Canis lupus familiaris: one gene and its partner. The protein of the gene in region 2 purifies or fractionates together with the protein of the main gene of each other region. This does not show direct contact. Links are inferred from orthologs where the notes say so. Each region holds a gene or a part of one and is shown on either strand. Other genes may lie near its edges.

The links. Proteins that work in one complex are often made in the same cells at the same time.
Region 1: the proteins of CTCF (region 2) and RPL28 purify together in Homo sapiens (affinity purification with mass spectrometry; 3 studies listed by BioGRID and IntAct, with this or other methods). This does not show direct contact. The link is inferred for Canis lupus familiaris from reciprocal best matches to the Homo sapiens genes CTCF and RPL28.

Annotation. Positions count from the first base shown.
Region 1 is NC_049222.1:103,067,147-103,072,708, forward strand, and holds RPL28 (60S ribosomal protein L28), read right to left. Parts: upstream 3,465-5,562; 5' UTR 3,392-3,464; intron 3,189-3,391; 5' UTR 3,181-3,188; coding exon 3,100-3,180; intron 3,007-3,099; coding exon 2,883-3,006; intron 802-2,882; coding exon 683-801; intron 595-682; coding exon 505-594; 3' UTR 460-504; downstream 1-459. Other genes in the region: TMEM238 (transmembrane protein 238), read left to right, coding at 5,379-5,562.
Region 2 is NC_049226.1:82,393,081-82,398,426, reverse strand, and holds the end of CTCF (transcriptional repressor CTCF), read left to right. Parts: intron 1-1,526; coding exon 1,527-1,691; intron 1,692-2,877; coding exon 2,878-3,062; 3' UTR 3,063-4,398; downstream 4,399-5,346.

The DNA of each region.
Region 1 (5,562 bases), on a different chromosome or scaffold from region 2:
GAATATGCTCCTGCCCTGCTTCCTGCCGTCAGGGGCCCACAGCCCAGGCCTTGAAGTCCTAGATGGTACCCTGACACCAACAGGAAGTAGGCTGACCATTGGCCTGGATCCTCAGCCCTTAGTGTCAGGCTCTAAATGGTCTTTCTTGAGCTGTCAAGTGTTGTTGAAGACCTAGGACTGTGAGGACTGCAGTGGACTTTACCTGGTCACATGCACTAATCTGCTGCATGAACAGACGTGCATGAACACCTCTGACGTGTTCAACATAAGAACGTGGACCACGCCCAGTCCTGGGGGCAGAAATGGTGGGACAGAGCTCCCCCAACCTAGACCTGACCCCTCCAGCCCCAACAGTGTGAATCATATGGTAACACGGGTGGGGGACCACGCTGGGACAGGCAGCACCCACATGAATGCATAGGGGCAGAGCCCCAGGGCCACAGCGAAGGGAGGCCCAAGCCAGATGGTTAACATCTTTATTGCTCTGGGTACAGGGGCAAGTGCTCAGGAGCTCTTGGTGGGGCGGGCCCGCTTCCTCTTCACCATCACAGGCTTCTGACTGCGCAGGATAGCACTGGCTCTGCGAATGGCAGCCTGGAAGGACAAAGAAAAGGCTCAGCACACATTCCCACACCGCTTCCTGAGAGCAGCTCCAGCCCCACTGGTCAGAAGCCCTGCTTACCATGCGCAGATCCGGACGGTACTTATTCTTGCGGATCATGTGCCTGATGCTACTGAGGGTGGCCCGGGCATTCTTGTTGATGGTAGTTCGCACATAGGAGGTAGCGGGTTTCCGCTGGCCTGGGGCAGGGGATGGGGTGGCAGCAGCAGGGGTCAGTGTGATGGTGCAGTGGTACATGGGGGACCTGAGCGCCCCACAGCCAGCCCTGTCCACCCAGCCTTGTACCAGTTCACTCTTCTGTGTCCCTGACACAAGTTCATAAAGTCACTTCAAAGCAGCCTGGGTGGCTCAGCGGTGGAGCGTCTGCCTTCTGTTCAGATCATGATCCTGGAATTTCAGGATCAAATCCCACATTGGGCTCCCTGTGGGGAAACCTGATTCTCCCTCCACCTATGTCTCTGCCTCTCTCATGAATAAACAAACAAAATCTTAAAAAAAAAATTTAAATTTAAAAAAAAGGGAGGGGGCGGGAATCCCTGGGTGGCTCAGTGGTTTAGCGCCTGCCTTTGGCCCAGGGCATGATCCTGGAGCCCCAGGATGGAGTCCCACATTGGGCTCCCAGCATGCAGCCTGCTTCTCCTTCCCCTGTGTCCCTGCCCTCCCCCTCTCTTTCTATGTCTATCATGAATAAATAAAATCTTTAAGAAATAAAAAATAGGGCAGCCCTGGTGGCGCAGCGGTTTAGCGCCGCCTGCAGCCCAGGGCGTGATCTGGAGACCCTGGATCGAGTCCCACGTCAGGCTCTCTGCATGGAGCCTGCTTCTCCCTCTGCCTGTGTCTCTGCCTCTCTATGAATAAATAAATAAAATCTTAAAAAAAAAAAAAAAAGAAATAAAAAATAAAAAGGGAGGGGGGAGAGGAAAGCAAAACACTCTTGTCCAAGGTCACTGGCACACAGGCCACCTGCCTGCCTGACTCTAGGGCAGGAAGATGCTCACCCCACGCTGGTCAGGTTCGCAAGTACCTGTGAGACTGAAGCTCCAATCAAGCTGAGTCACAAGATGAGGCCAGGGTGAGCAAGAGCCCTGCAGCAAGCACCTGCCTGCCCATCCACAGGTGGAGTCTGGACCCCACTGCCTGTGGTTCAGAGGAAAGCACCCCTTCCTTGTGTGCAGAGCTGAGGGCCTCTGTCAGGATCTAAAGTAGAGCAGTCAACGAGGTCTTGGGGAGTGTCCTATGCCCCAAACAACAGATGTGGAAGGTGTTGCCCAAGAAACCAAGGACCCTTCACCACACCAGTGACTTTAAACAATGCCAGTTCCTGGGGCACCTGGGTGGCTCAGTGGTTCAGAGCGTGATCCTGGGATGGACTCCTGCATTGGGTTCCCTGCACAGAGCCTGCTTCTCCCTCTGCCTATGTCTCTGCCTCTCAGTGTCTCGTGAATACATAAAATCTTTAAAAAACAATGCCAGTTTCTGATAGTCCGGAAGAGACCACCCAACAACCTGACAGGGAAGTGAGGGCTTCAGGGCACAGAGCAGCAGCATGGGGTTCTCAGGAGCACAACAAGAACCCTGGATGCTCACTGGTGGGCTGAGAAAGAGTAACCCCCCTTCAGGGTGGGCAGGAGTCCAATCAAGAACCAGCATGCCACAGCCACTGCTGTCCCTGCCCTGGGCAGTAGGCTCCAAACCCAAACAGAAAACAGCCCTCAACAGAGTTCAGGAAAAACCTTGCTCCCATCTTTTAAAATACCCCAGCAAAGGGATGCCAGGCTGACTCTAGATGAACATTTGCCTTTGGCTCAGGTTGTGATCCCAGGGTCCTGGGATCGAGTGCCATATCGGCGCCCCCCAACAGGGAGCCTGCTTCTCCCTCTATATATCTCTGCCCTTCTCTCGTGAATAATGCTTTTAAAAATAAATAAATAGAAGACGTAAAATCTTAACCAAAAAACCACCCAGCAAAGAACAAAGGTGAGGAACTGTGATGCCTCTGGTCTACACAACACCTGCCTCTGAAGCTCTCCAGTCCCCCTGACCCTCTGTCACACGAAAAGCCTGTCCAGTAGGAGTGGGACGCTCGGGACGTCTCCGAATGCACTCGGCGGCTGAGGGGTCAAACTACTGCAGCGCTGCACGGATACCTAGCCTGCTTCAAGCACTTTGCCGCGCTAGGTCGCGCCGTCCAGCCCCTGAGCACCCCTCCCCCTGGGGTGGACCGCCGCCCGATCCCAGCCCCGCCCCGCCGGGGGCTCACCTGATCTCCGCTTCAGGACCACCACCACACCCTTGCCGTCGGCCGCCGGCTCCACGCCCACAGTCTTGCGGTGAATCAGACCGTTGTAGCGGAAGGAGTTGCGAGCTTTCAGGTTGTTGGGCTCCTGGGAAGGGAAGGGGGCGCAGCGAGGCCGTGAGGCGGGAAGGACCCCGGCGATGGCGGCGGTTGCCTCCCCGCGCCCGGGCGCCCCGCTTACCGTGCTGTACGTCTGCTTGTTCCTCTTGATCAGGAAGCTGGAGCAGTTCCGCACGACCATCCACTGCAGGTGAGCGGACATGGCGGCTGCTGCGGGGAGAGAGAGCAGGGGAGGGCGTCAGAGGCGAGCCGCGGGCCGGGGCTGGGCCCGGGACGAGGGGAGAACACGAGATGCCGCGGCGAGCTCCGGCGGTGGGGACGGGGGGGCGCAGCGCCAGAGGCCAGGCAAGGGCCGGCAGAGGCCGCGGGCAAGCGTCGCAACCACGCGGGAAGACGGAGGACCGCGCGCTCACCTCCTTTCCTTACGGCAGCGAGAGACGGAAAGAGGCAAGTAGAAGACCCGGCGACGCCTTTAATTCCAAACGCATTTCCGCTTCCTCTGTGGGCACGCGCTTGCCCTCGCCTGTCCCCGCCTCCTCCCTTCCGCCTCCGAGGCGGCTCGGTAACGTTCGGCCACTTGCGCCGCCTCGTCGCCAACCGTTCGGAGAGTTCCGGACTTCTTCGGCTGGTGACCCGAGGGCGTGTTCTCGGAGCCTGAGCGCCACTGTTCCGAGGGTCCTTCGTGTGTTTTCGGAACTCCAGCGCTGGATTTCCGAGTGGGTCCAGTTCGAGAGGCCCGAAGTCCCTTTCCACAAGGGTTTCTCTCCAGGATTGCTCACCAGCGCTGAGCACAGGATAGGCACTCAATAAACATTCATTTTATGAATAAACGTGAGAATCCGTGAATTACTTAAGGCTAGCTCCAGGGTCTTTGGATACTTCCGGTCTTCTTCGTAAGCTCTCGGCTATTTCCGATGGAGGCACGGAGGCCCGATCGGGCATTTTCGGAACTCTCCGGAAAGGCTCTTTCGCGGGCTTACCGCCTTCTCTTATTGGCGCAAGCCCTTTCGGGTCTGTTCGGAAACACTCGGCTTTTATCGGCCACATTCGGAATTCCGTGGCTAATCCCCGCTGACCTCTCGGGTTGCCCTCCCCGCGATGCTCTCAAACGCTTTATTTTTTTTTTTATTTTTTTTTTTTTTATTTATTTATGATAGGCACACAGTGAGAGAGAGAGAGGCAGAGACACAGGCAGAGGGAGAAGCAGGCTCCATACACCGGGAGCCTGACGTGGGATTTGATCCTGGGTCTCCAGGATCGCGCCTGACGTGGGATTTGATCCTGGGTCTCCAGGATCGCGCCCTGGGCCAAAGGCAGGCGCTAAACCGCTGCGCCACACAGGGATCCCTCTCAAACGCTTTAGAATCTAGAGAGATTCCCGCGGGACGGAATCTTTTCGCCGACTGTCACCCCGGGAGGGCGTAGATTACCTCTAAGGGCGAGTCGTTTGCAGGAGAAGAGATTTGCATGGGGAAGTTGTTGGTTCCTTCAGAGGGTCCTACCTGTTGGCCTCTCCCGGCCCTCCCCGTCCAGTGTGCCCGCTGTGGCACCCCTTAAACTTATGGAAGTTTCTTTTCTGTGGTCGCGGCCCTCTTCGGGGGCGGGAGCCCTGCCTGACATACCTCGGGATCTCCGGCCTCGCCAACACGGGGCTCAAGGAACAGTGGCTTTATGTTGCCCCCCCCCGCGCCAACCCCCAGTGCACCTTGATCTGTGGTAGTGTCGGGGTCCCCGTCTGGCTTCGTTCCCAGAGAGCCCCAATGGTGCAGAGGCACTAGGAGAAGTGCAGGGTACTGCCCTGCTGCCCCCTGTAGAGCACCCACATCTGGAGGTGGTGCACAGTGCAGGAAGGACCATCCACTCCATGCCTCTCATGCAGCCGCACGGGCCGCCCCACGGCACAGGCAAAGAGTGGGAGAAGGCTCAGCTCCCAGGAGTCCCATGCTTCCTCTGCCTGCTGATTCTTTGGGTCCCGGGACTTCTTGAGGTCCAAGAGCCTCGTCGGATTCTTGTTTTTGACCCCACCTGTCCCCTCTGTGGGGTCTGGTACATACGGGGCCCCTGAAGGTAGGCACTAGGCAGAGATAGCCTCCTGCTGGACGCCCCACGCTACCTCCATTCGGACACCCTGAATTCTGAACATGTTCCTTAGCCTCCTTCGGGTGCATAAGGCCCCTCCCACCCTGATCAGTGAGGCTGGCAGCCCTCAGCATAGGCCTCTGAGGGCCAGGACGTGCCCAGAAACCAGGGTCAGGGCACCCCCAGGTCGGGCCCGTCTGCCCCCCAGCGTGGTCAGGTGACCAGGCGGGCGCCCGGCACACCTGGCGCCGTCCCTTGACCCCGCCCCGGGCCGCACCCCAGAACTCTCTCCGAGAGAGCCAGCGCGGCGGAGCAAGGGCCATGGCGGCGGCGCCGGCGGTGGGCGCCCCGCAGGGGTCCCCGCCGGGTGCACAGTCCCCACCGGCTGGCGCGCCGGTGCCCGCGTCCGGTCTGGGCCGCTGCCGGATGGCGCTGCTGATGGCCGTGGCGCTGGACGTGGCGGGCATGGCGGCGCTGCTGACCGGCGTGTTCGCGCAGCTGCAGG
Region 2 (5,346 bases):
CTGCTGAGCCACCCAGGCGTCCCTGTCGGTATTCTTTATACAATAGTCCTGTCTCCTTTTATGTGATGATGGCATCAGGGAGAAAATTAGGGAGTTAAGAATGACCCATTGAGGGGCTCCTGGGTGGCTTAGTGGGTTAAGCATCTGCCTTAAGTTCAGGTCATGATTTCAGGGTCCTGGGATCAAGCCCTATATTGGGCTCCCTGCTGAGTGGGGAGTGTGCCTCTTCCTCTCCCTCCTGCCTCCCTCCAACCCCCACTCATGCTCACTCTCTTGCTTTCTCTCAAATAGATAAAACCTTAAAAAGACGGGGGGGCAGCCCTGGTGGCTCAGCGGTTTAGTGCCTGCCTGCCTTCCACCCAGGGCGTGATCCTGGAGACCTGGGATCGAGTCCCACATCAGGCTCCCTGCATGGAGCCTGCTTCTCCCTCTGCCTGTGTCTCTCTCTCTCTATCTATCTATCTATCTCTCATGAATAAATAAAATCTTAACAAAAAAGAAGTCTTTAAAAAAAAAAGAATGACCCATTGAACCTGGCATAGTTAAGAATTAAGTCCAAAATTTTGGCCTTAAAAAAAATCCTCAGGGGGCACCTGGGTGACTCAGTCGTTTGAGTGGCTTACTTTGGATTTCCACTCCGGTCATGATCTCAGAGTCCTAGGATTGAGCCCTACATCAGGCTCCCTCCTCAGTGCAGAATCTGCTTTATGATTCTGTCTGCCTCTCCCTCTGTTCCTCCCCCCCACCCTCCCAACCCCCCACCTCCACCCCCCAGTCTGTCTGTCTCAAATAAATCTTTAAAAAAAAAAGAAAGAAAGGCAGCCCAGGTGGCTCAGCAGTTTAGCACCGCTTCAGCCTGCGATGCGATCCTGGAGACGCGGGATCAAGTCCCACGTCGGGCTCCCTGCATGGAGCCTGCTTCTCCTCTGCCTGTGTCTCTGCCCCTCTCTCTCTGTGTCTCTCATGAATAAATAAAATTTTTAAGAAAAAAGAAAATATTAAAAAAAAAAAAAAAGAAAACCATCAGTTATAGTCCTAGGAACTTCTGTCTCTCTCACACACACACACACACACACACATACACACACATACACTTGCCTACTCAGAATCAATCAGGAGCACATCTTCAAGGGTCCTTAGGCTTAGTAACCTGCTTTATCCTTGCATAATAGAAGGAACATATGTTTTCAACTTAAACATTGGCATTGTTAGGTATCTGGAGCATGATGGATTTGCCGCTTAATTTGAAATTCAATATTTTAATGTCTAAAGCTAAGAGAAAAGAGTAATATAGGAATAGTAGTCTTCAGGTCAATTTACATATTATTATTAGCACAATACCAGTTTATTCTTTTCAAGGTAAATAGCAAAAATTTTCTAGCAAAAGTATTTTTAAACGGACTTCTTTGATAAAAATAAATACATAACTAGACTTAACAGAATATGTGGTTTTGTGTGGATGTGTCATATTTTTCTTCTACCATACTTTTCCCTGGCTCCCCACCTGTTATTTCTGATTTCATGAGAAGAAAATGCTGAGCCAGACCTGGATGACAATGAGGATGAGGAAGAACCTGCTGTGGAAATTGAACCCGAGCCAGAGCCTCAGCCTGTGACCCCAGCCCCACCACCTGCCAAGAAGCGGAGAGGACGCCCTCCTGGCAGAACCAACCAGCCCAAACAGAACCAGCGTAAGTTACTTGTCTCAGCTCAGTAGGCTGGAGGCTGGCACCCTCCCCCCAACATGTTGGAGGAGCTGGCCCAGGCCCTTGTTTTGGGGGATGATGGGAACTAAGCCTTGAGAACAAGTTAAGAACACCAGGAACAAACTGTTAGGAACTTACTATTTAGTTTTTACTGGAAACCACGTGAGGAAGACCCAGGGAGCCTATTCTGCTTCAGGGAGAAGTAGTCCAGAGTAGAAGGGTACTCCTGTTCTACAAGATGGGTACTTTTAATGTGGGAGGGTTTTTGCAAAACAATCAAAGTCCTATCCCCGCTGGCAGAAGTGATATGGTAATAAACGCAAAAAAGCCTAATTTTAAAGGAAGAAGGATAAAGCAATTTCTGTGCTATGATCCATTCTCCTAAGAATTACAGGCCTGTGGATTCAAGTGCTGGCCTTTTGATTTGGGAGAGGACACAGACAGTAGAGGTGTTTCTCACCACCTCACACTACAAATGGCAGTGGGCAGCAGTCTTGTATTGGCCTCGACCTTTGTGACAGCAGGCCCTGGGGCACTCGGGTCTGTGTTCTGCTCCTTGTTGCTGTGGATATCCTGAAAGCCGGCAGCGTTTTTCTTTAACAAATGCATGATTTAATCTAGTTTTTATTGTACTCCCGGAGTCTCATGTGTAGATAGATGTCTATTGCAGGGGAGCAGGGGGTTGGTTGACTATAGACTCTTGGAGCCATTTCACCTGCACACACCAGAATGAAATACTGGTGGAGGGCTCTGGGTGTGGGAGGCTTCAGGATCTGAGATGGCTATTCTTGCTATAGGCGGTTCATCTCTAACAGCCCTGCGCCACACACATGGTGAGGTATTCTTAGTCACATGCTTTCGGCGTCTTTTGCCTATCTCATACTAGTGCAAAGCTCAATTTTATGACATTAAGTAAAACTAATAAGGCCTTTAATATGGAATTTGGGAGGCATGTGAAGATGAATGTCAGCATTTAGTTTTTTGATAGTTTCTACCGTTTTGGGGCTTTATGAATGGCAGTATTTTCGATCATTACGTCGTTTTTTACTTGCTCTGCTGCTAAGACTTTCCTACACTGCTGACATTCATTTAGTTTCGAGTTTGACAGGACCCTTGCAATCTACAGGGGCTTTAATGGAGCATTTGTTTTGTTCATGCTCTTTCTTGCCAGCAACAGCCATCATCCAAGTGGAAGATCAGAATACAGGTGCAATTGAGAACATTATAGTTGAAGTCAAAAAAGAGCCAGATGCAGAGCCCGTAGAGGGGGAGGAAGAGGAGGCTCAACCAGCTGCCACAGACGCCCCCAACGGAGACCTCACGCCCGAGATGATCCTCAGCATGATGGACCGGTGATGGCGGGGCCTTGCTCATCGCCAAGACTGCTCTGGGCTGTGTTTAAACGGCCCGCATCTTAATTTTTCTCCCTTCTTTCTTCTTTTGGCTTTGGGAAAAGCATCATTTTACACCATTTTACCAAACATACTGCGAACTAAAACTTCAAGGATGATGTTAGAAAAATGTGATTTTACTAGAACTTGCTGTTTGATGTTAGCAAATCATGGAATGTTCTGAGTCCCCAAGGGTTTACTATGAAGTGCTGAGGACAGTCTTGATGCCTAACTGGTTTTCTTAGATGGAAACAGAGACATTGAACCCTCTCTCTTGCTATGGTAAACCACTCCAGAATGGCCACCGGGTTTCCCAGAGTTCTAGGTCTTCTTCCCAGGAGAGTTTTTAATTGTAAATGCAGACTGGGAAGGACTTACACTTTTAAACTGATTTTTGCTTCTGCTTCTCCCTGACTCCCTTTGCTCGGAGCCAGCTGCACACCAGTAGTACGGCATGCTGCAGTCGGTGTCTGTCCTGAAGGCTTTGCCTCTTTCTTGGCAAAGTTTCTGGTATGGTCAAGCTTGTAAATAACTTTTTTTACATTTTAATCTTTTCCATTAATTAAGAGGTTGAAAAGAAGTGCAGTGTAAGAAAACCCAGCATTTTAATTACTTGCAAATTAAGTTACCACAGACTCTGTAGTGTGTAAATGTTGACAAGGAATTGGATCACAATCATGTAGCAGAATGGCACCCAGACTGCTGCCCGCTAGTGATGGACACCCACGTGGAAGATCGTGATTTCCAGCCCATGGAGCCAGCATTTGAACCTTGTACAATTAACTTTCAGTTATGATTTCCCATCTACATTTTCTTTGCTCTGTTTGTAGCTGAATTTTGTGTTTTATGACTCCTCTGTTCAAGCAGAAGGGTGATTATGAGTGGGTCACAGCAGCCCTTAAAAGCTGGGCCAGAAAATTTCACTAGGTCAGTAATTTAAACTTTGGATCTGCAAAAAAAATAAAAATAATAAACAATAATAATGTGAAACAAAACCAACTAAAAAATGATTCTTGCACATGAACTGTCACATGTTTGAAATGTGTTTTTTAGAGAGCCTCAGTCTTGCTGATTTCAAACACTTTTTTCTTCTGTGTATTGCTTTTAAAAGAGCCATCAGTTAGCTATCAGACTCTAGGTTGATGCATTTTGTACTTAGCTGTACTGTGTGATATTTTTCATTATTTTAGGACGCCAACATGAGACCTGTAATAAAATATGTAATGGGGTTGAAAGCTGGGGAGGAGGATCTACTGCTGTACAGCTAATAAATCATAACGGATTAACAAGTGCTCCAGACACTCCGTCACGTGTGATCTATGCTTAATGGGGGCCCCAGAGGGTCCGCATGGCCTCGGGTGCAGGCCTGGTCGCCTTTCAGAGGCACACTCTGTTCTCAGAGGCCACTTCCTCTCGAGACAGCACTTGGAAGATGATCTTGGCAAATGGTGGGATTATTGAGTGAATCCTGTTGTGGGTTTCTAACTCCCCAAAGGGGTGAGTAGCAAGTGTGGATGAACGACTGCTCGCCCCGTGATCCGCCTTAGGAGTGGTCCCTGCGGCAGAAGGGTGACCAGAGGTTAGAGATGCAGGGGCTCGTGGGAAGTTCTGTCCTCTGAGGCTCAGTTCAGTGCAGTCTGAGATCTGTACGTTGAATTCTGCCAAGTGCAGGATGACAGGCGGGGCCCAGTTTGCCTCAGAGAAGCTCCTGTGGGAGGGAGGCCAGTGAGTCCGCGAGCTGCAGGGACAGAGCCCTAGACCGCAGAGCTTGTTCAGAGCCCTGCAGGGGCAGGTGCAAGGGAGTGGGAATAGGAAGTTGACGTGTTAGTGAAACACCTGCTGCTGCTGCTGCTGCTGCTGCTGCTGCTGCTGGCCATTTCTGGACAGAGAGCTTCGGCAAACCCATTTTAGGTAAAAGCTTCAGCCACTAATTCTAGGGCTTTTTGACCAGAATTCTGAATTGGTGGTTTCCAGTGTGAAGTAACAAAAGATAAGGTATGTGTGACCACTTGGCTGCTTGTCCTGTCCACGTAATCCCGTCTCCCAGGAAAACAGGTAACGAGGCCTCAAGACTCAGAACCTGGCAGTCCGCTATTTGGACCGAGTGTTAGTGGCCTGACGCTGAGTGTGGGGTTCTTTGTCTCACGCATGGGCCAGCCCCTTTGGAGGCCAGAGTTCCCCCCCCTACCGTGTTTTGGTGGATGTATATAATTTGCTTAATTTTTTTGGTGTTTATAATCTCCAAGGAA